3 linked regions of the Rhinolophus ferrumequinum genome follow. The protein of the gene in region 1 purifies or fractionates together with the protein of each later gene. This does not show direct contact. Links are inferred from orthologs where the notes say so. Each region holds a gene or a part of one and is shown in the gene's direction. Other genes may lie near its edges. The genes, in order: VDAC2, FAM162A and RAB7A.

What was found.
Region 2: the proteins of VDAC2 (region 1) and FAM162A fractionate together in Homo sapiens (co-fractionation; 3 studies listed by BioGRID and IntAct, with this or other methods). This does not show direct contact. The link is inferred for Rhinolophus ferrumequinum from reciprocal best matches to the Homo sapiens genes VDAC2 and FAM162A.
Region 3: the proteins of VDAC2 (region 1) and RAB7A purify together in Homo sapiens (affinity purification with mass spectrometry; 3 studies listed by BioGRID and IntAct, with this or other methods). This does not show direct contact. The link is inferred for Rhinolophus ferrumequinum from reciprocal best matches to the Homo sapiens genes VDAC2 and RAB7A.

Annotation. Positions count from the first base shown.
Region 1 is NC_046299.1:52,267,738-52,277,967, forward strand, and holds the start of VDAC2 (voltage-dependent anion-selective channel protein 2), read left to right. Parts: upstream 1-5,435; 5' UTR 5,436-5,547; intron 5,548-5,679; 5' UTR 5,680-5,769; intron 5,770-5,976; 5' UTR 5,977-6,000; coding exon 6,001-6,031; intron 6,032-7,124; coding exon 7,125-7,193; intron 7,194-8,033; coding exon 8,034-8,083; intron 8,084-10,230. UniProt on the Homo sapiens protein: Non-selective voltage-gated ion channel that mediates the transport of anions and cations through the mitochondrion outer membrane and plasma membrane.
Region 2 is NC_046285.1:47,179,433-47,190,229, forward strand, and holds the start of FAM162A (protein FAM162A), read left to right. Parts: upstream 1-5,961; 5' UTR 5,962-6,084; coding exon 6,085-6,118; intron 6,119-10,797. Other genes in the region: protein MIX23, read right to left, coding at 4,963-5,013. UniProt on the Homo sapiens protein: Proposed to be involved in regulation of apoptosis; the exact mechanism may differ between cell types/tissues.
Region 3 is NC_046302.1:578,231-589,061, reverse strand, and holds the start of RAB7A (ras-related protein Rab-7a), read left to right. Parts: upstream 1-5,886; 5' UTR 5,887-6,111; intron 6,112-10,831.

The DNA of each region.
Region 1 (10,230 bases):
GGGGGCGCGTGGGAAGGGGGTGACAGGCAAACAGCTCCAACAACCTGGCCTCACCCATTGTTCTTGGCCACCTCCACTCCAGTGAACTTCACTTCCATTCCACCCTTCCATGGCTCCTCACCACCCAGAATGCTCCATTGCGGAATCTCACATCCCAGCACCCCACATTCTAGCCACAACCACAGCTCTTGGTCCCCTGTCTCACTTTCTCATTTCATCTCAATGTTTGCTTCAATTGATTCCCAGGCCCTAGTCCCAGTATTGCCCTTAGACCTGGGCAAGAGAGGCCCAGGGCAGGCCTCTGCGCCTCATAATTTAGAGGGCTCGACTCTAACTCTTCTCAGATTGTGCTTATTCCTATGGGGTGAGGAGCCTGCAGGGCCTAGGGAACATGCCCACCAAAGCCCATGCCCACCCTCTCCATTTCTGGACCAAACTCTGGATACAGAAGATCTGTGTTCCCTGTTGAAGCGTCCTGAGCCTGCTTCTGGGGCTGCATGGACTTCTTCCCCAGAGCCTTTTCTCCTGAGCATGGATTGAACTGCCAGTGACACATCCCTAAGCCCATGGGTGGTCAAGGAGCCCATGTGAGTGGTGGGGGAGGGTGCTTAGATATGTGGGCTGGCTGTACCCTTCACGCTGTGGGACAGTCTGGGACAGGAAGAGAAGGGATGTGTATCTAGGGCTGGCTCTCCCATGTGACCTCATCTGGTACAGACAGGAATAGGACTGAGTCCTCATAAAGGAACCTTCAAATTTGGTCTGGCTAGATTACAGGACTGCTGTGGACCCCCAAGTAAGTCCTGTTCCCCCCCCACCCCCCTCTGACCAGGGGTGTCTTTAGCAGTTATCCTGCACCGCTAACCCTGTGTGTGCTGGATGTGTGTATGTGTGGGGCAGACAGTTTGTCTCTTTAGTTCATAGGTCTTCAGATCAAGAGGAGTTGTACGGGAGTTGCTGCATTTAAGGAACTACTCCTGACGCGCCACTTGCTGATGCTATAAAGGCTGGAGGTTTTGGGAGGGAGTTAGTGTATTTTCTGTGTAGGAGAAATATAAATAATGTGACCAGAGCATCGCCTGTGGTGATTTACGAGTAAAATATACCCACAAATTCTTTGACACTCCTTTCAAAGGTGGAGCCTAATTCCTCTCCCCTGGAGTGTAGGCTGGTCTTAGTATCTCACTCCTAACAAACAGAATAAGGCAGAAATGACAGTGTGATTTCTGAGGCTGGAACGGGAGACATTGTGACTTCAGTCTCTCTCTCTGATCACCTGGTCTGCGAGAGGCCGGCTGCCATGTCATGAAGACACTCAAGTAGCCCTATGGAGAGGTCCTGTGGGGAGGAACTGAGCCTCTTGCCTAGAGCCACATGAGGAAGCCGTCTTGGGAGCAGATCCTTGAGCACAGCCAACCCTTCAGAAGACTACAGCCCCAGGGAGGCCCTGAGCCAGAACCTCCCAGCTAAGCCATTCCCTAATTTTTGACCCACAGACACGGTGAGATAAGGCATTTGTTGTTTTAAGCTATTGAGTAATAGTAATTGATACTCTGTATTAATAAAGTAATGAATACTTTACCTCAGTTGACTGCTTCTCAGGATGTGACACTGTTGATCACTCCCTCCTCTATCCAGGGCTCTCCCCTTGGCTTCCAGGAAAGTACTCCCTCCCGAGTTTTCTTTTAGCCTCCTGGAGAGTCTGCCAGTTTTCTTCATTAGCTCCTCTGATGCTTGCCCCTGCAACACCAATGCTCCTAAGGCTTCTACTATTTATTTTCCTTCCCCATCTCTCATTGACTTTCATCACACCCATGGTTAATCATAATTAAAACTAAAGTTTTCATGCCAGTGTCTCCCACCCAGACCTTTCTCCGAGGCTTCATAACTGCCTATGGGACAACTCTGTGTAGATGTGGCCCCGGGCTCCTCATTCTTATCTGAAAGTGATTCATCCTCTTCACTCGCACACCTGTCCCTCCTCCTGTAGCCCTTTCCACACCCAGTGGAATCTTTGTCCTCCTAGTTCCTCAAGTTAGAAATGTTGTTCCTAGCCACCCTGGATGCCTCCTCCTCACTAGCTACTTTCAGGACCTTCAGCATTTGACTCCTGTCAACATCTTTAAACTAATCTCTCAACGTTTTCTATACGTTTTCCCAGCTCTACTTAATTATTTGTGGTTTCCAAAGGATTGTTGCCTCTTCAAACCCCAGTATGGCTTTGCACATGACTCTTTCTAGAATTTTGCTTTTCCATCCTTGGCCTAATGGCTTTTTCATTTTGATAAGTCCTACTTTCAAACTTTAGTGCATGTGTTTTCTCAGTCTGACTGTGCCCACAATTTTCTGTGCTTACATTGAGCATTGTACTTGCAACCCCTGAATTCCCATCCTTTGTCGCGGGACAATCCTCGTTGGTGTTTCTACAGGTCGTGGAACAGGTCTGACCTGAAACTATCTTTACAAGGATGTTTGCTACCCAAACATCCTTAGGACCTAGAGGTAGTGTCTCCCTTTAGAAGGCAGAGGGCAGATTTTATTTCCTGAGAAGTATACTATGGTCTCTCTCGGGGCAAAGGATGGACAGATTTGTTAGCAGCTCCTTATAAGACAGGGAGTTTTCTAAACTCAGGATTCCTTAGCTGTGACACAAACACATGTTGTGCACAGCTTCTACCCAGGGTGGTCTCCATCATCCTTGTGGAACACACAGGGCAAGGAGAGCTGATTTGTACACGAAGCTTATGCTGTCTGCTGTACCCCAAGTAATAAAGTCCTTTGTCTCTGACCTTCGAGTTTCATGTCTTCTGCCAGAATCTATGAACCTATGAAACCATGGCACGCTAACTTGCTATCTTGCAAGTAGGGTAAAATCTTGGACACCTCACAGTTCTTAACACCTCTGCACACACTTGACTCTAAGTGCCTTGAGAGCAGGAGCTGCATCTGAATGGGCTCCGCTACCCCTGTGGGTGACACAAAGTGATGCTGCTTTGGTCCAAAGGGCTTTGGATGTAAGTACTCGTATATTTACTGAATCCAACTTTGAAATAAATTACTATGAATCTTCTGGTTATTAGATATAACCAAACCCCATTACATGCCCCATGTACATGTACAAACCCCATGTACATTCCTTGGATGCGTAATGGGTGAAGCCTCAGATCAGTGTTCTGTGGCAAAGTGAAATTCTCTGGGGACTAAAAATGCTACAGATACAGGAGTCCCCACTGTTGATGTAAGAACATCCAAACCTGTATTTTTATTTGTTTATTTAGGTGAAAACTGATAACAATTTCAGGGAAGCAAGATCTCAAATGGTCTAGAGAATAACAGTTTTGCATTTCTTTTATGCATTTGAAATTAAGGATGGAATTTAAAGAAGATTACATGAAGGTGAGAGGAAGCAAGGTGGGGATTGAATTACAGGACAGTTTACAAGATGTGCTCTCTTGAGGTTGGTTACTTCTCTTGAGGGTTATTACTTCTGGCATTTCAAAGGTGTGTTAACCTAGATGCACAAGAACAATGGACAGGACTTGTTTAAGGCAAAGATAATTCTTTTACCAGGGAAGTTATATGCCTGGAATGTGATTACCTACCAGGACCTGCCCTGTTAGGAATTTATGATCAGATCCCTCTGTGAGGTTACTTTCATTTATAACCCCTTTTTGTCCACACCCCTTATCCACAGGAGATATATTCCAATACCCCCACTCGATGCCTGAAATTGCAGGTAGTACTGAACCCTAAATATTCTGTTTTTTTCCTATACATACACATACTTTACAGCTTCTCTTTGGCGTATCCAAGTTGCCAGCATCACGACTCTCGTGCTTTGGGGCCATTATTAAGTAATATAAGGGTTACTTGAATACAAGCACTGCTATACGGTGACAGTGGATCTGATAACCAAGATGGCTAGAAGGACAAAGGGCTGATTCACATCCAGGGTGGGAGGGAATGAGACAGGGAGCAAGATTTCATCACGCTACTCAGATCAGCACACAGTTTAAAACTTATGTTTATTTCTGGGATTCTCCATTTAATATTTTTGGACCGCGGTTGAGCACAGATAACTGAAACCAAAAAAACCAAAACCATGGATGGGGGGAACTACTGTAGTTCACAATGTGAATACGCCCTACTGTAGGTACTGGAGGTGACTGAGCAAAGACTCGGTTTTCCTGGGAGGTGGTGTGTCATGCTGCCATTTGGGATGGGATGTCAGTTTCTGCCACGAGCCTCACAATTGCATCAAACGTAGCCAGAGCAGACCGGCTCCCAGTGGAACTAGGCTGATTTCAGACCAACCTGTTTGAGATTGAATGATGGAATTAATTTTCTGGTGCCTGAACTCTTAGGCGCAAAGGCTCTCTCTATTCTTCTTATAACCCTTTACATGCACAGCCAACCCCTACCATGACCAGGCAAGATTGCTGTCTGGGTTTGCTCATGGAAGGTAAATCCACCATGGCAGCTATAATCTGGGCTTGGATTGTGGAAGTCTATCTTGCTACTATACTTTTCCTGGTTTAGGAGGAGGGTGGAACCTTGGCTTTTAGAATCAGAGGAAATCAGGGGGAAAAAAGCTTTCCTAGTCTATGGCTGAATGGCTATTAAAGACCACTTCATCTCATTTAAACGTCATTTTATAGACGAGAAAACAAACGGGGTAGAAGGGATAAATTGCTGAGATTGGCGATTGATTCTGGAGCCTCAATTGACCCCATTTCTCTCTCTCTAGACGGCTCCTTTTTTCTTGTTCTCTTGGCTCCCTCACTGTCCTGCACACCCAGGGAGCTTGAGGACAGCGTTCTCCTGCCTGGTCAGCATGATTCCTAAGTTTTCTAGCAGGCTTGCCTCACCCACATGGCTACGGTTCGGTGCCTGTGTAAAGCAGCCCCACCCCTAAGCCGGGAGGAGGCGGCAGAAGAGGAAGCCTCAGGCGAGAGCAAGGAAAAGGGGCGGGGCACCCCGAGACGTGCTCCAGTCTGTCCCCCGCGGGGCAGAGAACCCGACAGCCGCCCTGCACGGCAATTACACCGCCGTAGGAAGCGGAGGGGGGTGGGAGGCGGCGAATGGCTGGCCGTGGTGCCCCTGTGCTCACTCCTTTATCCGACTCTAAAGAGACTGTTTCAGAAGCACACGCTGCACGTGCTCAGGGAAACCGGGCACAAAGCTCAGCTGACTCCTTTCAGACGCCCTACACCACGGATGGTGTGCAGGGCTTGGGAACAGCCAGGAAAGGGAACTGGGGAGCTGTACGTGACCTCCGGCGTGTGCCGCCGCGCCCCACGCGGGCACGCGCCTCGCGCTCCGCCCCGCCCGTGACGAGCGCGCGTGGAGCCTCCGCCCCATCCCCCGCCCTCGCGGTCCCCTCCGTGTACCATCCGCCGTTCCCCGCCCCATCGCCGCGGGGGCTGCCCTCGTAGCTGCCTGACCAGAGGGCCGGCAGCTTCTGCCTTTCTGGCTCCAGCCGACGGACCGAGGCGGCCCACCCTGGGGACAGGGGTTTCCTCGGCCCCCGTGGCCGTTCCGGAGCAGGTTGGAGTGGGCAGCCGGCGGCCCTGCGGGGACAGGCGCGGTGGACAGCCCCGGGGACAGCGGCGGGGTCCTGGCGGGGGGAGGGCAGGGTTGCGGCGGGCGGAACGGTGTCTCCTTCACTTCGCCCTCCAGCCCCGGCAGCTGCAGCCCGACCCACCGCGAGCCGAGCGGCCTTAGCTGCGAGCGGAACGGCGGCGGCGGCCCCTCTCAGGAGACCACTAGGTACCGCCGCGCCCGTCTCGCTCCGACCTGGGGACCTAGGCCTCGGCCGTCCAGCAGGAGGCCTGAGCCCGACTCGGGGTCGGCCCTGGCTCCCTAAGATGGCCGCGCTGCCCCGCGGCCCCTCGCCCATCTCTTGTCTGAGACATTCTTATGGCCCCTTGACCCGCTTCTTACTCTCGCTGACCGCACTTCTTGTCCCTTCCGCAGATCACCCATTTCCGCGGCCTCGCCATGGCGACTTACGGACAGAGCTGCGCGCGGCGTAAGTCTGGAGCAGGCATCTCTGCGGGATGGGGCGGTGTTGTCCGGGGAGTCGGAGCCGGTCCCCCAGAAAACCGCAACTTGTTTCCCCCCCATGTCTCCGAGGACTTGGAAATTGGTCCTTTTCGGTAGACACTCCACCGTCTTGACCGCCTGGCTCTGCGGAGGAGGAGCTGGGCTGCTGGATATCGGATGAAGGGACTAGGCCGGGAAAGTTGGTCTGTGGCCGCATTCACCTTTAGCTTTTGGACGTGTGTGAGGAACTCAGAAGCAAAAAGTTGCTGATTGTTGGATTCGGTCTTTGGAGGGGTTGGATCAGACTCTTTTTTGAGGAAGTAGTAAACCCCCATGTACTAGCGCAAGGTCATTACACGTGCTCCTAAGGGCGTGGACTCACTTTGTAGAATGAATGAGCTTGTGTGTGAGGAGCTTAGATTGCTTGCCTTTAAACCGCACGGTATTGACTAAGGACTTGAGTATCATGTTAATATGTTTAAAGTGCCATTTGATATTTAGTTGATGTAGGCACTTGAGTGAAACATACATGGCCGTGTTATTTCTATGTTCCAATATTTAAATTCCCGAAGTATTATATACAGTTCTCTTCCCACTCCAGAATGTAGGTTTTGACCTCAGTGAGGATATTAAAGTATATATTGGGGGAGAAGGGCTTGCCTTAGGTTTTGATTTTTATCTCATTTGGTTAAATCTCGTTCCAGTGATTTTGGCAGATGCATCTAGATAGATGTGTATGTGTTTGATTTTTTTTTTTGGTACTAGTCCAATCCTAACAGGTGAGGCTATAGGCACTGAGTAAATTTAGGAATAGAAGTCTGTTTTTCAATTTTGGAAGGAATTTCCCCAGTTTGTCTAGCCACTTATTGTGGTTACGCATTTTAGAAACAAGACTGTCTGTGGTATGTCTTCCATGGATTGTTAGAGTACAGTTTTATTGTTGCTTCTGGTGGTATCAAAACACATCTCCAACAAGTTGGACTGCTAGAATTTAAAGAGAGCAGCAGGTCATAATCCAGTTCTTGGACAGCAAGTGGGAGAACAGGAAACATTAACATTGGAATGTTTCTTTCTACCAGCAATGTGTATTCCTCCATCATATGCTGACCTTGGCAAAGCTGCCAGAGATATTTTCAACAAAGGATTCGGTAAGAACTTCTCTTTTTAAACTTTAGATCAGAAGTGAAAATATGTATTTGGATTGCTTAAGGAAATTAAGTTAATAATTTCTTCAAATTGTAAATATCTTGTTGCATTAATTCTTTTATTGGATACATTTTAGATAAAATGTCTATTAAAATAGTTCTGTAACAGTCCACATCCCCCTCCACTTCAATTTCCTCCAGTTTTTTCAAACTATAGTTCAAGGATTTTACCTTTAAGAAAAAGCAGCTGTGCTTTCATTTCCTTCAGTTGTAGTTTAGACCTTGATTAATTAGAACTATTCCTATGATTATGTATGTATGTTTTACTTTTGTGGTGGTGCCTCTTAACGGATTATGGGCTTGTCAAGTGAACTTGGGTTTTCTTCTTGAATATTTTGGTCCACCCCCTTCCACTTCAGATTATTTCTCCAGTTACTTAGATTATTAATCCAAAGGGGAGATAGGAACCTTTGGGATAAATGTTCTAAATGTCTATTATAATAAACTATTGGCTATTCTGAGATTTAAGCTGAATTAGTTCTCCAATCTGATGTTTAGGTTTTAAAGTTGTTTGAAAGCTTTTTTTGGGGGGGGCCGTGCCAAATAATACACCAAAACACTAGGCAAACTGCATAGAGATGTTCTCTCCATTACATGTCAGTTTACATAGGATAATTAAAAATTTTTCATTTAACTATTGTGTATCAACCTTTTTATCTTCCCCCTCCAAAAAAGGGGAAACCTTGGGTTTTTCTGTGTTTTTTTTTTTAACGTATAGTCTACTACTGATATGCATTTTTGTACAAAAGAATCATTTTGTTATCATTTACTCTCCACTTTAAGGTTTTGGGTTGGTGAAACTGGATGTGAAAACAAAGTCATGCAGTGGTGTGGTGAGTATTAGCTATCTAATAAGTTCTGATGAGCCTTTATGTAATTTTCTACCCATAAAATAGTCATAACTGAAAGATGTCTACCCAATTTGTCTTAAGAGGCAGAAGTTAATTTTATTTTAAGGGATTTGCGTGTAACTTGATTTATTTTGGCTTTGGTTGTTTTTTCATGTTGTCTTTTGCCATATTACTTACTGTGTATGCACAAGTAACTCAGGAAGGACACTGGTCATGTGAGACTGTTTATTCAGTAAGATTACAGGCTTGAAGGCAGGGAACCTGTTACACTTTTTCATAACCCTTTCTTTTAACGCCTATTAAAAGCATTAAGAGTTCTGGGCATAAAAATATTCAGTAACTCTTAATTTGAGTGTACTAATCGTTTATATAATGGTTATATTCTAGTAGCCCTTCTTGGGGAAGATTTCCCCATGTATTTTGTGAATTTACAGAATCCTGATTTGAGTGTTTTTAAAGAGGTTAATATTTTGGTATTTGATGTCTTGATTCCTCCTCACAAACTCCTCCCTTGCAGGGAGTAAAGTAAAATTTAGTTTTGTATAATTTCTTCCTCTAAAATGTTTGTTTTGAGATTGTTACGGTGATGGGTATAGTGTGTGCATATTGAATATTATTAGTTATTTTGATAAATTCTTGCTGTAGTTGATTCCCTTAGTGCACGTATCTGGTATTAAAATTAATTGTGTTATAGTTTTTAACGCCTAGACTTGGATTTCTTGGGTTTTACGTTTGTCCTGAGTGTCATTTGGTTTATTTGATCTGAAAAGGACGCCTGATTGTTCAGGTGGTTGAGTGACTTATTTGCTTAATGTAACAGGTTTCAGAGTAGTGACTTCATGTTTATTTTTTGTATTTCTGCTTATAACCTACTGAGGCACCTTATAAACACTTGCTGTGTATTTTTGAAACACAAAAGGCCTTTTAAAAAAAAAAGTAAAAGACTCAGTCCTGTGTTTTAAAAACTTATTTGATGGTTGGAGAGAGAAAATAAATTTTAAACTGGGGAAAATTAGAGAAATATATCAAATACTAGGTTGTTTGATAAATCAAAATCATTGTTGGAAATGAAGGGCTTATTGTGGACAGGGTTAAGGAAAGTTTTATGAAATTAGGTTTAAGATGATGGATGTATAGGAAGTGGGTTAGATGCAGTATATTTTCGTTTCCATTTAATGTATGTAGTTCAACAAGCATGGTACTGATGATGTAATATGTACCTGGCCCCAAATAAGTCTCATTAATGGCTGGCTGTATTCTCATCTGAACTGCAGAGATGTCCAGTCCACCCCAGAACATGGAAGCCTAAAGGTCTGCTAATGGAGTGAAGGGTGTAAGCTCTGCCAGTGGTGTTATCTGGCCCAGTTTTGGTCCCACAGTGTGACCATCTTGGTTTTGTGTCTTGAGGATTCTTTGGCTGGCTGTCAATCTGTGGGTCTATTGATGGCAGTGGGTGGGGCCTCAAGAATCATTAGTCAGTGTCACTCAGGAGTTAAAATAGCGACTCAGACACATTCCCTATTGAAACTACCTGCTAGAAGAACATGTTCCGTATGTATTGTTTTAATAATGCCTGCCTTTTGTGTAGAGCGCATGAATATGTGCAAAGCTTTCACAGTGTCAGTCCAGTTTAATCCTCTAGAGATAGGTTTTGTTATTATAATCAAAGAAACTGAGTCCCAGAAAAGTTAAATGTCTTCCTTTGTATTACTCATTCAGTAAACTACAGAAATGGACGCCAGGACTCATAATTTTTTTTGTAGTGTTCTTTCTTAACATAATTCAGGGTTCTTTTTTAGTATGGACTTTGAGTGTCAAGCTTTGACTTGAAATTCCTGTTAATGAAAGCATTAACAATTTCAAGCAATTGTGGATAAGACCTAAGGATTTGATTCTATTTCACTGCAGAGCAGTAGTTACACAAATGTTCTATTTTCTAAGTGAAGGGTGGTTGGCCTTTTATCCTATTGCACAGTTTTTGATGTTTCCTCACTATGCAGGTATTATTCATTTCAGATTGAATAGTTCAGATTGGCCATCTTCGTTAGACTTGGCTTTCCAGTGGCCAAAGGGTATAGCCATTATTAGCAGACAAATTGTGAGTCAGAACCTTCAGAGGGCTTTTTAAT
Region 2 (10,797 bases), on another chromosome or scaffold:
AATGGAAAAAGCCCCGGAGCTCTTAAGGCAACTCCAAGAGGTCTAGAAAAGAGCCTGGCCGGTCCTCACAAAAGGACAGCATTTGGAAGGTTAATTTAAATGCAGGCGCAAAAGAGCTGCTGTTAAATAGTGTCTCGTTCATAAGGAATTACTATCTGCCTGATCCCTAGCCCCAAAGGCATAACCTCTCTCTCACAAATTCACCAAGAAAATATACAGAAGATGCCCCTGAGCAGATCATACACAATAAATGGCAACACAAGTCTACGGAGATAACAGAAGACACACGCTTCAGTAGCTCGCTGAAGGCTACATCTCAGTGTAGGACCTGGAACGCTAATCATCTTCTAAATGCCACAGCACAGCAAAAGAGAACTCTGCAAATTTTGTCGTGCTTCCAGCTTCTCCTACCTTGCGTCTTCCTCAAAACAAGAAGAGATTCTGACATATCATGAATACCTCATTTTAGGCTGACCTTTTACCATTATTCAGGTACTTATCCTGGAATTGCATTTTGTCTTACCTGTAATTGTGGGGTGAAAATCTCATCCTCTTGGAAGGCAATTTCAGTACTGAAGCAGTGCTCACATTTAGTAGTAGGGAGGAGTAGAGAAAAATTTTTATTGCCCCTACAATTATATTATAGTCTATCCCTTAGGTTAATCCTCAGGTAAATTCCTTTCACTATTTGAGGCAGTTTTTAGGGTAGATGGGGGCAGTGGGCTGGGAAAAGGTCTATTACATACAGGACAGTAAAATGCAAATGTACTCCAAAAACTAACCTGGAATTTAACCTTTCCTCTCCTCACCCTCTGCCTGAAGATACCCAGTAGATCCCACGATGCTCTTTTTAGACAGACCTGGTTCCTCAAACCCAATTTTTATAGCAGTGCTTACACTGTGTTCTCCACAAGCCAGAGACACAGATTTGCCTGCAACTGCCAGTCTTCTGACACCCAGTACCCTCAAGCACAAGGACAGAGAGCAGCTGGTCATCTTGCAAAAGGAACCATCTCTGATGCTAGAAAATAGTTTATTTAGTCTGTACCTAATTACCATATACCTCAAAATCAACTGTGTATAAATGAATAAATGTTCCTAACAGTAATACAAAGACTTAAAACATTCTGGGAGGGAATACTTAGTTGATTTTGTTCAGGTGATATATGGATCTCAGACAGGGTCAGGAAGAAGAGATTTCAGGGTAGCCACAAGTAATAAAAAAGCATGGAAATAACAAAGAACATAATGTGTTCAGAGAACAGTAGGCCTTACGTGGCTGGACAACAGAGATCAAAAGTACGTTGGAGGAGGCGGAGGGTTGGGGGGAGAGAAACACGCATGAATAGACCAGTGGTTAAGAGATACAACTAGACAGAGGCAGTTTGGGATTGTACGACATGTTAAGTAGTTTAGATCTAGTCATGTAAGCATAAAATTAGATGCATGGTTCAGATTCTAAAATTTAGAAGCTTAGCAGTATAAAGCCACAATATTATGGAGATTGGACTGAAGGGGCAAGGGTATGTATTAGAAAAAGGAATGACTGAAAATGAGGAGACCTATCACAAAGCTAGTTGCAAAAATGACAAAGCCTGAACAAAGACAGTGGTAGAAGTGATGAATCCTCCCTAAAGCCCCTATTTGCTCTTCTCATCCCCTCTGCTCAAAAATGACTCCCTAACCTCACACTTGGCATCCAAGGCCTCCACAATCTGGTTCCAATCTTTTATGTAATCTCAATGTGCCCCTGAGCAAACCCTGAATTCCAGCAATACTGATTAGCTATTTCCACCAAATACATAAAAGTTTCTGCCTTATATACTGTTTTTCCTACTTACAAATACTCTTGATCCTGTCCACCTAAGGCCCATCTCAATTACCATCTCTTATTTCTCTGAACCGTTATAGTATTTTATTCATATACATTCTCAATATTTTCTATATGTTTTATGTCTCTACTTACATTAAGTTCCTTGTTTAATATCCAGTCCACTAGGTCTTCCCAAGTGCCTGGAACCTAGCAGTATCTGTTATGGACTGCACTGTGTCCTTGCAAAATGCCTGTGTGTCTGTATTTGGAAATAGGGCCTCTAGGGAGATAATTAAGGTTAAATGAGGTCGATGGACAGGGTCCTAATCCCACAGGACTGGTGTCCTTGTAAGAGGAAGAGACACCAAAGATCTCTCTCCTACATGCATAAAGCAGCCATGTGGGGACACCGTGAGAAGGCAGCAATCTGTAAACCAGGAAGAGAGGCTCACCAGAAACCAACCCTGACAGGACCTTAATCTTGGACTTCTAGATTCCAAAACGGTGAAAAAATAAATTTCTATTTTTTAAGCCACCCAGCTGTGGTATTTGTTATGGCAGCCCCACCAGACTAATACAATATCTCATAAATTCTTGCTGAATGTTAAAATGTTCAGTTTTAAACATTATTGTCTGTATTTTATTTCATTTTGGAAATAGGAATATTTTCCAGGCATGCTACGTATGACTTTTATAATAGAAAAATAAGAATTGTAAAACTTTAAAACACTTTAAAAACTATTAAATTTTAAAACATGCACCTGCATGGAAAAAAATCAGAACACTAGTTGCCAGAGGGGAGGAGGAAGGATGGGGCAGGGACCAACTGGGAAGGGGCATGAAGAGACTTTCAGAGATGATGATATTATTCTCTCTGTTGATGGAGGTTTGCACTACAGGTGTACGTAAATCTCAGAACTCACTGAACCGTACACTTAAGATTTGTGTATTTCACTAATGCAAATTTTACAGAAAGAAACAAATATTTGACTCTAGTTAATGATATGCATGTTGAAAGACATGTTTAGGAATGAAGTATATTGATGTTTGCAACCTACTTTGGCATTCCATCAAAAAAAATTAAAAGGTGGATTGTGGATAGAGATGGATATGTGATAGAGTAAATACAGCAAATCACTAATTATAGAATCTAGATGGTAGGTACATGAGTGTTCATACAATTTTTCAACTTTTCTGTAGCGTTTGAATATTTTCATAATGAAACTCTGAAATACGTCTAATCTTTATAATAAAAAAATGTGACTTCTTGTTTCTCTTCCACAGTATTCAGTGAAGTGCTTTTCACATTTAGGGTACTTACACAGAAAATGTAATGGTTTCATAGCTTAAAAAAAATTAAACTTTGCTTACTAATTTGTGAGTATGCCAGTTAACCATGTTTTACAATTTTACCAAATTCATCTAAATCTAAATGTTATACTAAAATCTTAGTTTTACAGCAACATCTCTTATATTCTTATGTGCCTCTGAGGCAAGAGGGACAAATGTTATTCTCATTTACAATGAGGTTAAATGATGTGCCAAGGCCAGCTCTGGAAAACCAGATCTTCTGACTTTTAACCCAGGATACTCTCCATTATAAATGAAGTTCTATTTGGAAAAGTTCTAGAGAAAAAATCTGAAAACTTCCCTCACCTTTACTAATGATACTTATTTTATGATCTTTTTATTTATGTTATCTTTGTGAATGGAATGGTTCTGCAAGACGGCTTAGCTTTTGCCCCACTTATTTTATCTGACCTTCCAAAAGAAAAATCAGTGTTCTTTAAGTACTGCTGGATGTTTTAACAGGAAAAAGAGATCCTTAAAATTCGGGTTTAGAGATTCAAATTATAGAAATGGAAACAGTTTTACGTGTTATTTAACACAACCTTATTTCACATATTCAAAAGTTAATTCCCAAAGGGGTTAAGTGATTAGCTCAAGGTCCCAAAGCTGTTAATGGCAGCAGTACTAGAACCCAGAAAATCTAACTCCCTAACCCTTTTTACGATAAACTTTAAAGCTATCATTGTTCAATTATCTGAATTTATTAATTCAAATTAAACCATAGTACTAATGTGGCAAGACCAAGGCCACGAAGGGGCCAGTAAACCTTAAATATTCCATATACTTTAGAATTCAACAGTCTTTTTATCCTATTTAAGATTACTATTTGTATTTGTTGGGCACTTTGATCACATTTGAAGTCAGGTTTTGTGCTGAGCTAGTCTGAGAAGTAGCTTAAGTGGTGAGGAGGGTGCAAATAATGACCCCACATAAACTTCTTTGGCCAAATGATGTTTGTCAAAGAATTTAGTCTGTTGAGGTTATCTTCAAGAATACTACTCCCTACAAAGGCTCAAGGCACAAAGCTTACTATAGATAGGTCAATGACACGTGAAATGATTTTTCAGTAACGTTAAAAATACATTTGTAAGGTCGTGATTTTTTTAATTCAACTCTATCTAGACAGCAGTACATTGATGCTTACAATGGTACATACAACTTTCACAGCAACTTGGTCAAAATCCAGACCCTGTTCTTTAATTCATGGGTTAACATTTAACCCTAGACTTCTGATGTTTGAATATATAAAAGATACCAGCCTTTTTCTTAAATGTTACATTTTCTCTAATGGTTACTAAGGCAGCAGCGCGGGAGCTGGTACTAGAATTAATCTCCCCTCCAAGACTCCAAACGTTCTGCCCTATCAAAATAGTAAAACTTGTACCGAGTTATTTTGTTTTATCAAGCAAATAAGTTCTCCTTCACTTTCTTCTCTCCACAAATGCTCAAGTTAAAATAGCAGGGGAATGGGAAAGGCTGAGTTCGGGGGATAGCTAAAGAATTGTTACAATCCCTACCAACCTGGCCGAGTTCGTCTTCACTACCGCGCAACCACCCTGAGTTTCCCTTGCGGTTACTCAAGGCCTGGACGGCTCAGAGAGAACCATGACCCCCACGGAGCAGCCTGGCTCCCGAAGGCCAACCCCGCGCCCCTCATGACCTCCAATGGCTGGAAAAAGAAGCCTTGCACTGCCCGTTTCTCCTACAACTGGTCCGCACTCCCTCCTAGGCCAGAGAGGGGAACAGGGTCCAGGGACAAAAGGAAGAACACGCCTGCCCCATGAGGAAAACCCCATCACCTGGAACTCAGCGAACTCCTCACAGTTCACACCGCCACTGGGCGCCGCCATATTGGACAAACTCGAGGGCCCCGTCGCGAGCCAATCACGGAGAAGCAAAGGCGTCCGCGGCGCCGCCTGACAAAAGATATTTCTAGGGATATATCCGCGAGACAACTGAGAACTGGGATTGTCTTTTCGGTGGTCCTCATTCACTTTGAAACTTGTATCCCTGCTGTCTTTTTTTCTTTCCCATCCTTACCCCTTTAACATGTCTTCCTGGAACCGACCCAAATGCATGGATCGAAGAATGTCAGAATTTGAATGGATCATCTTACACTAATCCCATCTTATAGAAACAATTTCCTGTTTGTACCAACTAGGTCGCACGAGGAGGAAACCTAGAGTAGATGTGGTTTTCCTTAACCCTCCCACTCCATTATCTACCTCTTGGCTCTTGAGCAGAGGGGCCTTTGCTCCTTAAGAATTTGGGACCACTAAGAAATAGCAAGAAAATACATTTCTGGCAGTGCGGGTGGATAAGGGTTGAATAAAGTGTTTATGTGTGGAAATAATGTTTGGTTTTACAAAACTAGGTAAATAGAAAACAATAGGAAATACACATGCTAATTTCTCAGCCTGAGAGACACTCCCAAATCCCACAGGGATTGGGGCACTAGGCCCCAGTTATGCGTTTCTGATAAAGGCACGTATTCATTGAAAACACTGGAAGAACACTGTACTGAAACACTGATTTAACCACTAGGCCCTGTGATTTCGGGCGTCTACAGTTCATAAAGTTTACAATGACCATATTACTTTTCTTCTATTTTAAACGGGGACTTTCGTAGACGCAAATAATAATATTCCAAAGGCCCATTTATCACCAGACTCCAACACCAAACGCTGCGCCGGGCAGGACCGGGCAGGACGGCACTGCCCGCGTATTCTGCACGAGACGCACGTCCCACACGCCCCGCGCCCAGTGCGTCACGCACGACCCTCTCGCTCCGCCCTCACGTCCCACACGCCCCGCCCGCCAGCGCCAGCCCTGTCCTTCCTGCTGCGGCACTGAGTGACTTTGAGTGTACCCACGCCACCGCCGCCCCCGAGGCGCTGTACTGGTCGGCGGAGTAGGCGGCCATGGGAAGCCTCCGCGGCCTGCGCCTGGCGGCGGGTGAGACGCGGGTCGTGCTGCTTGGGGCGGCGGGGGGCGGGGGGAGCGGGAAGCCAGCTCGGCCACTAGGGTTCGAGGAATCCTGCAGCCTCTGCGGGCCTGGTAGTTGCTTGGCATCACGCACTCCGCTCAAGTTGCTCGGAATCCTACCCGCAAGGTAGCAGTAATGGGAGTGAGCAAGGGTTGAGCGAGCAATTGCTAAGCAAACACTGGGGGCTGGGACAGAGTGACCCTCACACCTGGCTCTCCATCCACCCCGCTCCCACCAACTTTTGACCCCTTGTTCCTCCATTCCTTCCCTCTGCTCCATCACTAGCCTCCTCGGAGCTCAGTTCTTAAGGTAACTGCCATCCCTAGAACTACCCCCACCCCCCCGCTCATTGCCGGATTCATGCAGCTTTCCATCCTCACCTCTCTCCTCCGTTACTCCACTTGAGTCGTGAGTCTCCCCTCGCCCCCATCTCTAGGGTTTATCCCAGCTTTCAGCGGAGAACCTATAGTCTGGAGTTTCTACCTGTTTAGTGTCTGATTAGTAGGCAAGGGTATTAAGATCTCACAGAATAATAATTGTTTTCTTAAAATGGGGGATATATTTCTTTTAAATAATTCTACAATTAAGTGCTTCGAATTTCTTGGAGGAAAGTATTACGTCAATGCAGGATCTGTGGTTTGTTTTCCTAGTTGACGTTGACATTTATATAATGGGTATTTGAAGTCAGGGCTTAATTTGCTTTCTTGGGGTACCAGCAGAGCCTTGCTTAGTAGAAGCTAAGAAGTCAGCGTTTGCCTCTTGGCTCTTTACTAGGCACTAATGCCAGTCACTCCTTTGGTCACCTTTATGAGTTTCGATAAGGCATAATATTGATCTCTTATTCCTTGGTATCAAATTACTAAAAAGTTCTTTAATTCAAAGTTTAAAGGAAGAATGGCCCCAAACTTGGCTATGGAAATTATGTAAATGTACATTATAAATGAAGTAATGTAAAAAAAAAGTTACCTTTACATACCTGGCTTACTTTGCCTTCCAATGGAGAGTGGACTGAAAAACGGTTTCAAACTGGAGAATGTTATTTACGTCCTTTAGCACAAATACCCCCTCCACTAAAAGAGATTGATTTCATTGATTTGTTCAGCTTTGTTGAACTAATTCGCCAAAAATCTTTTGTATACACTAGTCCCCCCAATCAGTGGTTTCGCTTCCCTTGGTTTCAGGTACCTGTGGTCAATCATGGTCTGAAAATATTATATAGAAAATTCCATAAGTTATAAATTTTAAGTTTGGGGCTGTTCTGAGTAGTATGATGAAATCTTGCACTTTTCCATTCTAACTCACCCAGGAGGCAAGCCAGCATTTCGTCACTGTATACACTACTAGCTTGTTAGTCACTTAGTACTTGTCTTGATTATCAGATTGGCAGTTTTGATACCGCAGTGTTTGCGTTCAAGTCACCCTTATTTTAGTTAATAATGGCCCGAAAGCGCCAGGGTAATGATGCTGGCAATTCGGATATGCCAACGAGAAGCCGTGACATGTACTTAGGTGTAGGATGTGTAGGATAGGGTTTGGTACTATCCATTGTTTCAGGCATGCCCTGGGGGTCTTGTAGTGTATCCCCTGTGGAAAAGGTGGGACTACTGTACATCCAGTTAACTGTTACAAAGCTTTTCAGCAAGGCAAGTGAAAGAACCATCACTCTGTAAAAACACTGAAATAGACTGAGTGAAAGTGACTTTGACTACATAGCAGCTAAGACTGGATGTTTATAAGTAGTTCATCATCTTGCCTTGAGAATGTATTTATGCATTATAAAGATTCCAAAGCCTCTCTGCAGACTTGCGATGTTTAAGAACTTTTGTCGGGCACTCACTCAAAATTCCATGAGCCATTTAAGAACAGTTTCACTCCAGACAGATCCACTAAAGATGTTATATGAGCAGCTCTTTCCAAATGATCTTCCCTGAATATCTGAATGTTTTGTGAGCAAGTCCAAACAATCCAGTCTTTCACCCACTTTTGCCCACTTTTGTATTTTATAGCTAAATACATTGACATGTATTATTTTACTTGACTGATTTCTCTCAGAAGCCTTCTTCGGTCAATCTTATCATCCCTTCTCCATTTGACAAGTAAAGAAACAGGTCAGAGGATTAAATGACTTGCACAGTGTTAGAGTCAGGAGATAAGCCTGCCTTCTAATTCTGGATCTTGTGCTCTTTGCTTTGTTCAAGCTGTTTATTCACAACAAGGGTGTATATGTGTTTGTCCCCGGCTAATTTGGTGTCTCTCTTGTGAAATGACAGAGTCACGAAATGCAGATTTACTTGTGAAAGGGAAATACACATTTAGATGCAATTGGATTTTCAAGTAAGAAGACTGATTTAACAAGCAGCCTTAACCAGATAATGTAGGTATAGTCAATTGGTCCTCTTACCCACGGATTCAACCAACCACAGATTCAACCAACCATGGATCAAAACTACTCAGAAAAATGTTGCCTTGTTGCTGATGTGTACTGTGTCGTTAGGCCTATGGTGGTTGCATCGGTACTAAGCATGTACCCTTTTTTCCTTGTCATTATTACCCGAACAATATAATAGCTATTTACATCATTTACATTGTATTAGGTATTAAAAAGTATTTGACAGGTAATTGAAAGCATTCCAGAAGATGTGGGTAGGTTATATGCAAATACTATACTATTTTATATAAGGGACTTGAGCATCCTTGAATTTTGGTTTCCAAGGGGCTCCTGGAAGCAGTGCCCATAAGATACCAAGGAATGACTGTATACCTCAGTTATCCAGAATATTATTTGGAATAAGATACTCTAGGTGAGTGAAATTTCAAATAGCCAAAGCTTAATCCTTAAATGATGGACCTTTATTTTTTATTGTTTCTGTTGGAAATCTTTGGCATACTCCTTTAGCGAATGGACTTTTCTGAGCTTGAATTTGTTTGTTTTGTAGATATAGATCAGGGTTAACTTACAATTCTTGGACTCCTTCATAGATGAAAGGTCCTGTGGACCTCTGAAATTATTATATATATAAGATACAGTTATATTCAAATGTTTATGATTATGTACCTGTTTTTGGGAAAGAGGATCCATAGCCTATATCCATTACTCAGAGCAATCTGTACTCTAAGTTAAAAATGATTTGGAGCTAAATGGCTACTGGCCCACATTTCTGTGGGTTTCGTGAGGGTAAAGACTGGATCTGTTGTGTTTTTACTAAATCCTCAGCACTTAGTGTCCAGCTCACAGTAGACAGGCACTAGATATTTTTTGGAAGAGAGACACTGGGAAATATCTTTGAACATGCTTCAAATATAAGGTAGGTGTTCTTACCTCCTTTCTGAAAGTATAGAATAAAAGAGATATAACCTTAGGACATTGTGTCTTACTACACAGAAAAATTATTAGGTCAAAGGAATGGAATGGCCTTATAAGAATGTTTCTTCACACCTTCAGAAAAATTTTACTGTCCTAAATGCCTTTGACGTCAGCAGATTTTAAAATGAATTTATGATTATTTTTATACCAATGCAATGGACCATGGGCAGCCTCCTTGTCAGTTTAACCCACATCACTGAGCACTGGAGTCAAGAAATCCCTTAAAAGTCTTGTAGTCCAGTCCCTCATTTTAAAGATGAAGAAACTTAAGGACCAAGAAGGAAATTGACTTGCCAAGGGACGCACGCGTACACCAGTGGGCCATAACCAATATCTGCTGGCTCCCATTCTGATTTTATTGCCACTACATTCATTGTTCTTTTGGCTTGTTCTTGCTAACCAACTCTAAATGAGTACCTACCATTTTTACTGCTCCAGTCTTTGGCTTTGCTTATCTCTCCCTCCAGATCTTGCCAACAGGTTTTTACTGAGCCCATGCTTTGTGCCCTGTATACTATGAAAGCTCTAAAATGAGTGGGCTGCCACTCCTCCTAGGGCTCGAGTTTATTTCAGTGAACAAGCATATCTATATAATACAACTGAGCTTATACATGACTATATTAAGTTCTAGATGACAGAACAGATTTTGAGTTTCGCTGTGGTGTCCTGGAGCTGGTTCCTAGTGGCTTTATTGCACATCTCATCCCAGTTTTACAAAGTGTTGTTACGTTGGTAGCTTGAAATCTGCCATGGTGACGGTGTTTGGCAAACACTGCAAATCAGGGCTTTTCCCCACCAGCCCCCTCCCAACAGCCAGCATACGACTGGCTTTAAAAATTCAAAGAAAGGAGAAGCCGTGTTGGTTATGATTATCTACTGAAGGCTTCATTGAAATAGAAGGGATGGGAAAGTTACATGAGCAAAGGTAGGGGTAGTAATGAGTCTGGAGAGGGTATGGGGGAGAAAGGATTACCTTGGATTTTGGTCAGAAGGTACTAGGAGATAGGTATGGCTTTTTGAGGATTTTGAACCAGATGAATTTGGACAAAAAGGAAGCCTTTAAGCAGAAGTCATTAAGGAAATATTTTTGGAAAATTAACATGGCCGCTGCATACAACATGAATAGCTGCTACTTGTGAAGCTACTACGGTAATCTATGTGTGAGGTGATGATGTAAGTGACAAAAGAGGAACATATTCGGGAAGTATTTTGAAATTATTTGTATGGGTTTGAGACAGTAATTTAAGGGAGGACTTAAAGACTGACGTTTTTGAGCATGGAGAA
Region 3 (10,831 bases), on another chromosome or scaffold:
TAGAGACAACTTTGTCAGGTGTAATCTGGTTTCGGAGATAGGTTTTGAGGTCCAATGTTTGCCTGGAGTCTGAGCCTTCTTTAAATGAGATGAATCTAAGGTCAATGCCTTATAATTTGGCAGCACAAAGATTCGTTAAAAGTACCTGATAAGGTCCTTTCCAATGAGGTTGGAGGGAGTCTTTGTGTTGATGTCTTTTCTAATAGACAAACTCTCCTGGTTATAAATGGAGAAGCTGGTCTTCATCTCCAGGAGTGCACTGTGAAAGGAATCTTGAACAAGGTTGGAGTTATTTTGCAAGGTACTAACTAACTGTTGACAATAATATAAAAGGTCTCCTTTTATAAGAGGTTGTGGATAAAGTCCTTCAGTCAAATATATAGGTCTTCCTGTTACATTTCAAAATGAGAAAATTTATGTTTACCAAGTGGAGTGGAGCAAAGATGAAAAAGAACCAAAAGGTGAGAGCTATGGGTCATGAGAGTCCAAATGCCATGCAAATCTTGGCCAGTTGAGTTTTAATTGTGAGGTTGTGCATCTACCAAACGGGAAGATTAGGGGTGGTGTGCACAATGCAAGTGTTGGTAAATAGGCCAGATTTTGCAAATGACCTAGACAATCTGTGCCATGAAATGAGCTCCTTAATCACTGAATAGTTCTGGAGGGACTCAAGTTGGTATAATCTTTTCTAGCAAGATTTTAGCTTTGGTCATAGTTGTAGCCTGATGACAAGGGAACTTATACAGCAGTTTGTATTTTCAAAAGGCTACGTTTTTTGTTTTTTGTTTTTTAACTTTATGTGGGCAGTGTTTTGGTTAGTTACCGGCTGTTTACATTTCGCAGACATGATAAGAGTCACAACTTTCAGAGACAGAGAAAAACTAAGTATTTTAACATTTATATTATATTATTACATAAACAAATATAATCAAAGGTTCAGTATTATTTATTTGACAATGTTTCCCATGTAACTTACACATACCCAATAATCCTAATTAATTTAATTTCCTCCTTTTATAAAGAGAGGAAACAAATATTTGAGGTATTTCAAGGGTCCTTCTGAAAAACTCCAAAGTTCTTAAAAAATGTTAAGAAAAAGACTATTTTTTGAATCTTCGGAAGCTCATCAAACATATCAGAAGTTCTAAAACATTTGGTCAAATAAGATAATAGGTCATTGTGGAACAATACGTAAATTATCCATATCCATGATGACAAACAATAAAGACTTTGTGGACAAATACAGAAAGTTAAATAGCTGTAAGCAAAATTTAGTTCTTTTAATATTAAGATGACTCAGTTTACTTAACTAAAGACTTGATGATAAAGCGTACAGGAAATCATTTTATTAAAACATTTCTTGTGTTTTTCTTTTGTAATCTCTTATTAAAAGCATACTAATAGCACAGGAATATCTCATTCTTTCAGCAGAGAAATAACATAATGCTTTAGCTTTGCATAAACACATCATTGATACTAAAGCTTAATTAATTTTTTAGCCGTTATAATAATAATTTAAATTTATCCAGCTTATGTATGAGGTAAAATTATCTTTCTTTCCATTCTGAAATAACCAGAACAAAATTATTTCCATTTCCCTTAATGAAAACATATCTCCATATTTTATAGCATTTTTTTAACTGAAAACATGTATCAATTTCTTTCATATTAATTAGAATTCTTAACCCATAGAAATCTTAAGTTTTGTGACAACCAAAAGTAAGCAATCAGCATTCTTTAGATTGGCAAATTTATGAATGCATTTCATAACCTCTAGAAACATATGCTTTTTGGTAAATATATTTTATAATTTTTTAGAATCATGTATTTTCTTAATAGAGTATAAGGCATTTTTTACGAATAGACCCACACATTTTTATTTTTCTGTATTAAGAAGCCCAAAGTAGGTAAACTTAGATTCCCTTAACAATTAATGTTTCAGTGTTTCATCATACTTGGAAATAGATCTAGATATTCAATCATTTTTATCTTTTAATTTATTAATTCCCAAAAAAATATATTTACATTACTCATAAAAATTTTATGAGACATTAAACAGAGCCACTTGTTATAACTATCTTCCTGTTGACAAACCCTATAACAGAGATAATATGAACTTTTTTTATAAACCTAGATAAAAATAAAATATTAGATGTTAATAAATTTAAAGACATGTCTGTTTTCATTAAACTAAACAAGTTAGTTTCAATATTAAATATAGTTTCAGATCATGTGATCCTGAAAAATATGTGGGTTAGTTTCTGTTATGCTTCTTAATCTACATAAGTGCTTAATTTCTTTAAGCCATTTAAACAGAGCTCTTATATAAACTAATTTTAATAATTTCATCAGAGGTAGATATGAGTATACATACACATATATGAGGTCTGACAATTAAGTTTGCGAACTCATCCTAGAAAAAGTGCTACACACCTCATTGCTGAGTATCACTATGGTCACCTTCGAAGTACTCCCCTTGGGAAGCTATGCACTGATGCCAGCGCCTAGTCCACCCTTCAAAGCAATTTTGGAATTCCTTTTTCTGGAATGGCCATTAGAGCTGTCATTGTATTACCCTTGATGTCCTGAATATCATCAAAATATCTTCCTTTCAATATTTCCTTTATCTTCGGGTAAAGATAGAAGTCATTAGGGGCCAGATCAGGTGAGTAGGGAGGGTGTTCCAATACAGTTATTTGTTTACTGGCTGAAAACTCCCTCACAGACAGTGCCGTGTGAGCTGGTACATTGTCGTGATGCAAGAGCCATGAATTGTTGGCAAAAAGTTCAGGTTGTCTAACTTTTACATGCAGACGTTTCAGCACTTCCAAATAGTAAACTTGGTTAACTGTCCAGTTGGTACAAATTAGTAATGAATAATGCCTCTGATATCAAAAAAGTTAGCAACATCATCGCAACAAGTTCGCAAACTTAATTGTCAGACCTCCTGTAGACAGAGACATACAGAGACCTGATAGTTCAATCTAAAAAATTTAGCCATGAGACAGGTTTATAAGGCTAAAGAGAAAAAGCCATTAATTTATAACAGTAGGAATAAGTTAAGTTTATTGATCAGGTGGCTAAGGCTTTAAGATTTTCATCTCTCTTTGATAAACAAGTTTTAAGGAGACTGTGGGCAGGGCAGGGGTCTGCTTGGGAAAGGGAACCTTTCAGCAACTTGTATTTTTAAAAAGAGCTTTCTTTTCCAATTTTTTCTGTCTTTTTTGGGGTTAGTTGAGGCAGCTCAGGGTTGTGTTTACATTTTTGGTTATCTACTTCTACTTCCTATCAGACTTTTACTTAAAATTTCTAGGTATAGAGAGTAATCATCCATCAGGGGAAGTCATGTAGATCGGGCGATAAGGAGGGATATGTGGCAACAGCTGAAGGAGCATTTGATGGGCTTTGAAGAGAAGATGGTTTAAGGAATTTTGAAAGTAAGGGAGGGACGTTGCTTACACACGCCTTATCTTCTAATTTCTGGAGGTATTAAGTTTAGAATTATTTTCTTGGAGGGAGGCAATGGTTTTCTTCTGCTTTTGAGGCCTCAAAATACCAATTAAAGAAAGCCTCTCATTTTCTTTGGCGGTTTTGAAAACCTTGGCATTTGAATTGAGATCTCAAATAAGCTAATTTGGAAATTTCAAAGGTACCCCATTTTGGCCAAAAAATGTTTAAAATTGTCCCGTGTAATTGTTGTCCAGAGATTAAACCATTTCCAGCTATCAGGACGACAAATTTTTTTTAACATAAATCTTGTAGGGTTGCTGGATGGCGGCTAGCCAGCAGAGGTCATTTTAGAACTAGAATTATTTACTATGTGAAGGCGTCCCTACCAGCATAACTTGAGAAGATTTTTATCTAATATTTTACGGGTAACTCAGACTCTTGTGACCCCTATGGGGGCACCTCGTCCCTCTATGAAAAGCCTTATAAAGGGGTCCTTCCCTTAAGAATAAAACTGTCAGAATAAAACTCTCAGATCTCAACCAAAAGCATAGGGGGATGGAGGATTTGAGAGGACTCACCCATGCATGCTTCCCCACAGTGGGGGAAGGCAACTTGAGCTCAAAGAGCTTTGAAGGCAAGCGTAATGTAGTGAGTTCCACAACAAAGGGAGATTAGGGAGCTGCTTCAAATCCCATCTTCATCACCATTCATGTAAACAAAGTCCAGAGATACCTTTTTCCAAATAAATTTAGTTTATTCAGATAATGACTTGTAAACCAGGAAACATAGCTCTTGATGTGAACCAAGAATACATTCCAAAATGGAGGGGATAGGGCAGGGTTTATAAAGGCAAAAGTTGCAAGCTGTTGATCAAAGAAATGGGTTCTAGGGGAAACAAGACCATAAACTTACATATGTTTTCTGATTGATGGGGGCAACTGGACATTCATTCAATGGTTGGCTGACTCAGTGATCAAGTAAGTGGGGTTGTGAGGTGAGAACAATAGGTAATATGTGGTTAATCATTTATCGAGTCCTCGTTTCAGCCCAGGCCTGTAGAACAAAAAGGGTGTCTTTGATCACACATTGTATGGATGAAAAATGCGGTTCTATGAAAAGTAACCTCAAGGGTGATCTGATTATAAATTCCCTGTTGGGCAGGTCATGAGGGGTAGTCATACCCCAGGCCTATATGTTCTTTATTGAAAGGTTTTAAGCCAGCCCTGTCCATTGTTCTTGTGCATCTAGGTTAACACACCTTTTAATGCCAAAAGAATACCCCTTAAAGGGGGTATTAATTCTCAAGAGAGCTTGTAATCTTGTTAACTATCCTGCAATCCAATCCTCAATATGCTTTCTGCAGTCTTCCCTACGTCCCCTCCTTAATTTCAAATGCATAAAAGAAGTTGCAAAAATGTTATTTTCCAGAGCATTTTAGATCTTGCTCCCTGGCATATGTAGTTAGGCTCAAATAAACTTTCATAAAAATTCTCTACAGGTTTGGATATTCTTACGTTGACAATAGTACAGGGAGTATTATTCATCTGATAGCTACAGCAGTACAATCAATTGATACAGGAGTACAATCAAACAATACAATCAACACAAGGGGGCTGTTGGCTCTGCAGGCCCATCTGGAGCCCAGAAGGGCAACGTTATGCCCTGCAAGCAGCTTCAGAGCTCAAGCTGTAAAAATCCAAATATTGCGCCACAAATTATGAAATTAATATTCTTATATTCTTAAATCCTCGCTTTTCTGCAAGAGAAAGTGTTCTGTTAATGTGTAATTCTCCTGTGTCTCTACCACCTTGCTAGATCATTGGTGCAGTCATTTCCAGTTTACTAGAAAGATCAAACACATTGGTATCAGACATATTTGGTTCACATCCCTGCTTTACCGCTTAGTGTGAGCTAGGTCCAAGGTTACCTGTGCTGGGTCTCAGTTCTCTATTTCCAAAATGGTTAAAATAGAGACAATCCAAAGGTGTAGTATGGGTGCACAATAGGTGCTCAGTAAATATGGATGCCCTTCCTCTCCCTCTGTAAATTTGTGAAATAACTACTGCCTTGTCTCCCTGGGAAAACCCCCTTCCTAGAGCAAACTTTGTTGATGCTGAAATGTTCGGCACACAGGCCTACTTGGTTGACTGATCAGTGTCTCCTGGAAAGTGACACTAATGGAAGGTTCAATTTATCCTCTCTTTTCTTCCCCTAGCACTCTTATTCCAGGGGAAAGGGGGATGACTGAAACATCGGTTTTGGGGTTCAACATAGCGCCGTCCTGCTCCTTGCACGAGACTCAAAGATGGCGACAACCTTCCGGGGGCAGACATATTTGTAGCACGTGATCCAGGCTCAGGCCAAAGGAGGCCGAACGTGACGCGGGGTTAAGGCGGGGCTCCTCCCCCGCACCCTTGGCGTGTAGCGACTCGTGACAGGTACTTCCGCTCGGGGTCGCGGCGGTGGCGGAAGTGGGAGCGGAGTCAGATTCTTGGCCGTAAAGCCTGAGGCGGCGGCTGCGGCGGCGTTGGAGGTTTAGAGAGCGCCGAGCAGGCCTTTCAAACCGGAACTTGGACTTCTCTGCGCCTGTCCTCCCTTGCGTCTCCTCGGCGGGAGCCCTTGTGACGCGCCCAGCCCGGAGCCCCCAGCGGAGCGGCAGCGGTAAGCAGCGGGCCCAGCCTGGCGTGTGGCCCAGCCCCATCCCCCTCCTCAGCCCCTCGGTCGCCAGGGCTTCGCGTCATCCCTTTCTTGGGTAGGCTCTGGGCCCAGCCCCGACCTCGCGGGGAATGTCCTTGTTGCTAAGGGCCCAGGAGCAGGCCCGGACCGCTCCTGGCCGGGGAGAGGTCAGAGGTTGCCGAAACCGGCCACCCGGGAAGGTGTCCTGACTTGGGTGGCCGCTGGGCACTGCGGACCCTGTGCTGCGGCGAAAAGAGCTAGCCGGTTGAGTTCGTTCGAGCGGCGAAGTGGAGGATGTCAAAGCCGACCCCCCGGTGCCGTGTCTGGCGGTGGACGCGATCCAGGCGCCACCAACCGCGCGGGCATTGGTAAAAGGCGCCCAGGGCTGAGCCACGTTCCCATCTGTTTCTTCAGTTGAACAGCCTGACCCTGTTAGTGAGAGAGGTTTCCTGACAGCAACTAAATCAAGGCAGTGAGTCAGGTCACGTGCACTGGGCTCGCTTCAAACACTTGTATACATGTGATACGCCTTAGGCTCTGGGAGACGGGGAACTTTTTATCATAAACTTGTTAATGGCAAATGCTGAAAGAAATTTTAAAATTATATTGTGGGAAAGGTGGTGGTTGACTGTAGAGCTGTGTTTGAATTCCAACCGTCTCTTACTCCATACTGATTCCAAAAAGTGGGAAAATCGAGAACAATAATAGCAAACATTTGAGCCTTATTGTATGCTGGACAGCCTGGCAAGACCTTTGCACAAGTTGTTATGTTTAATTCTCAGAACAACCTTCATAAAACTTTAGTACATAGGTGTCCAGCCAGTTGGTTCTTTCCTGTTGAAAATACTGTATTTTCTCTTTAGATTTCAATAGAACAGGCTCTTGTCTCTTCCTTAAGCAACTGATTTAGTCAAATGACTTCTCATCCATGGATCAATAAAATCTATTAGTGTGTTTATCTTTTCAGACTTGGGAGAATTTGTTCAGGTTTAAGTCCAAGAACTGGAAAGTGAGATTGTGAGTACTTCTGAAGACACTGGCCAAAGAGTAAAGCTTAATACTCGCAGCCCTATTATATTCTACTTTTTGTTTTAACTTTGCCACCCAGCTTGTTATATTTAAGTGGGTGATAAGTATGGTAGCTTTAAATAATATTTGGTTTTAGGGGAGAGTAATGATGAGCACCTTTTCATTCATTCATCAAATGTTTTTAGAGTACTGTTCTTCCCCGAAAATAAGACCTAGCCAGACCATCAGCTCTAATGGGTCTTTTGGAGCAAAAATTAATATAAGACCCGGTCTTATTTTAATATAATAATTAATATTAAATTAATATTAATACTAAAATAAGATCGGGTATAATATGTAATACCGAGTCTTATATAATATAATATATAATGCTGGGTCTTGTATTAGTTTTTTTTTTTTTTTTTTTTTTTTGCGTGTTGATTTTTTTTTTTTTTAAATTTATTGGGGTGACAATTGTTATTAAAATTACATAGATTTCAGGTGTGCAATTCTATATCACATCATGTATAAATTACATTGTGTGTTCACCACCCAGTGTATTAGTTTTTACTCCAAAAGAAGCATAAGAGCTGATGGTCCGGCTAGGTCTTATTTTCGGGGAAACACGGTATCAGGCATTGCTGGATATTGACTCAGGGAGAAAGGCATTTTTCCTGTCCTCAAGGAATTTAAAGATGGTGAGTGATCATGGTCTGGAATTGTGTGGTGGAATGGTGGTAGAACTTGAGGCTTTTGGAAAGAGGAGTTGTTTCTCATTTCTCATCCCTGCAAGTGAATCTGCAGTTATCCAGACAGTCTGGTGTTCTGGCTAACTTGAAGGCTTTGTTACTTTTAACAACGTTTATATGGTTTGTTTTTGAAGAGAGTATGGAAAATAATATTACGTTTTGAACTATCATTCTTTTGAAGAGTAACCTTCGACACTAAACTTATTTCTCTTTTTGGTCTGGTGGCATTTTTTGTTCATGCAAGAGGGAGTTCATGTCACTGCCATTTTACACTGCAAATGTTAGCTGTTGCATGCTCTTTGTGCAAAGGTACATTTGGCATGCTGGATTTTTCTTCTTCAGCTGATGAAGAAAGTTTAACGTAGTGCCTATCAGTCATAGTACCAGTATCATCCTAGGTAAAACCTTATGCCATCTATGTGCCACAACTGTTATGGCTCCCTTTCTTTAAAAGGGGATGTGAGTTTGCATTTGTGGTAGAACTGCATGAGTAAACAAACAGAAGGGTGGAGTGTAGCAGAAGGCATTCAAAAAAACAGGTTTTTTAGTATATCCTTCCAGGTACTTGTTAGCAACCACTTGGTACAAATTTTTTTTTTTTTTTTGGGTGCCAACCGGGCATAAGTCCCAGCCTCATAATCAAAGGGCATTGCTTTATAGTCAAGTGTGGCATTGAATCCAGTTCCTGACCCCACAGTCAAGTGCATTAAAAAGGTTTTGGTTATTTGATTAGCTTTTAATAAATCTCCGAAGAGATCTGCACTAATAATATTTTCACCCTTACATTAGACGTTAGCCTTCTGATGCAAAGGTGTAGCAAACCCAGACCACACATCTATGACAGTCATCTTATGTACTGTTCCTCTCTGAAATTTGACATGTTTACCATTATTCCTGGGATAAATTGTCTTCACTCTCCGTCTATATAATTCAACACATATGGCTAAGAAGGATTTGACCAGATATTGGGCTGGGAGTTACAGATGCAAAGTCTTCCATGGAAGTAAAGAGAGGAGTCCTCCTGAGTAAAGCTAAACAGTGGTTCCCCTTGGCACTAACATCATTCTCTGAAGGAGACTGAAGTGCTAGAAATTAACTGCTGCCCCCCACCCCATTTTTGTGGCTGCTGGCTTTCTGTTGACTCTGACTTCCCATGTAAAGTTGGCCATTGTATTCTCAGACATACGTTCCTATGTGTTATCAAACACTTATCTGTTAATGCTATCTAATAGATCTCTATGCTTCTCTGTCTGCAGTTTGCTGCAGCAACATTTTGCAATGTGTCTGTCTCTTCAGTTATTTTCTCTCATATCTTCTATTTTCTGCTTTTTCCTTCCCACATATGGCATTAAACTCAGACAAATAGTTTGTATTTATGTTTTAAAACTTGTTAATGGTGATTGTGGTCAGTGAATCAAAGGTAAAAGTGATGTGGGTGAAATTAGAACAGGCTTTATAGCAGCGTTTCTGACTAGTTTCAATTTTAGTAGTCCAGGCTGTGATTTCAAAAACAAATTTAAGAATAACTACTTGCAAAATGTCTGTGGGGGAGGAAGAAAGCTTGGGTGTTGGTTCCAGTGGTGACATACAGTATTGGCTTTGTTCATTTGCCTGAAGATGCAGTACTTAATGCAGGAGACCTCAAGCCTCTGCCTGGGGCTCTCTGTTCTGTTGATGTCATCACTGCTGGAGAGATCCGTCTGACTGCTTCTGTTTTCCATTTTCTGGTCACCTAGGATTGCTTGCTGTCAGGACAGAGCAAATTTGAGGAAGCATACTATTAAGGGAGGCCTGGGCACCTGAGCAGTGTTAGGAATTCTGTAACCTTGCATGGCTCTCAGATGGGCTTGCTTGTGTGACTGCTGCTGATAAAGTGAAGGAGCATCTTTAGTTTTTCCCTACCCTTTCAAGTAAAGATGGCTTTCTTTTTACTACCGGCTTTCCTGTAGTTACCCAGCTCCGTTTGGGAATCCTTTAAAAATTGTGAAGTAAATAGTTAAAACATTGGTTTCCAATCTTTGTATGCAATTTTAATTAAAACGTTTTATTTCCATTTGACAAAACTTCTAGTTTGAGTTATTTGAGACTGTATGACAAAGTGGCTATGAATTAACTTCTAAAAAACTGAGTTGTAACAACACAGTTTATGAAAAATAGTGCCTTTTACATACGGTATTAAATCTGTCTACCAACAATTCTCTGTGCAGTTACAGATCTGGGAATTCCCTGAAACAACTCTGGGTCATCTGAGCAGCCCACAGGTTAAGAGCCACTCTTAAATCCTCTGACCTGTGCCATTCAGTTGATAGTTGTTAAGGAGCATTAATGTTTTGTAGAAATCTTCCTACACAGTATTTGTCTTTAAATGCTTTTCAGTATTTGTGTAGTGCTTACAGTTTGCGTAGGATTTCATTTGGTGCTCACAACAACTGTGTCGGCTTCAGAAGCGAGCCATTTCTGTATTTCTGCCTGCGATAGCTGAGGCTGAGGCTGGATGGATGCTCAGGGGGCCCAGCTAGGAGAATGCTAATCTAAGTCTGTGGAAACATTGCTCACTACTTTTTCGGATGCATCATCCTGTCTTTTTGATTACGTGTGATCACCATAAAGGCCTCAGCATTTGACTGCTTATAAAAATGTATCTTTCTTCCACTGTCTTTTATTTAAATGACATTTTTCTCTTGATGATTATTAAATTAGTCAGTTCATAGAAAAATAGCTAGGAAAATACAGAAGTAAAAAGAGGAAAAATTAGGGGCCGGCCTGGTGGCTCAGGCGGTTAGAGCTCCATGCTCCTAACTCTGAAGGCTGCCGATTCGATTCCCACATGGGCCAGTGGGCTCTCAACCACAAGGTTGCCAGTTCAATTCCTCGAGTCCCGCAAGGGATGGTCGGCTCCGCCCCCTGCAACTAAGATTGAACACGGCACCTTGAGCTGAGCTGCTGCT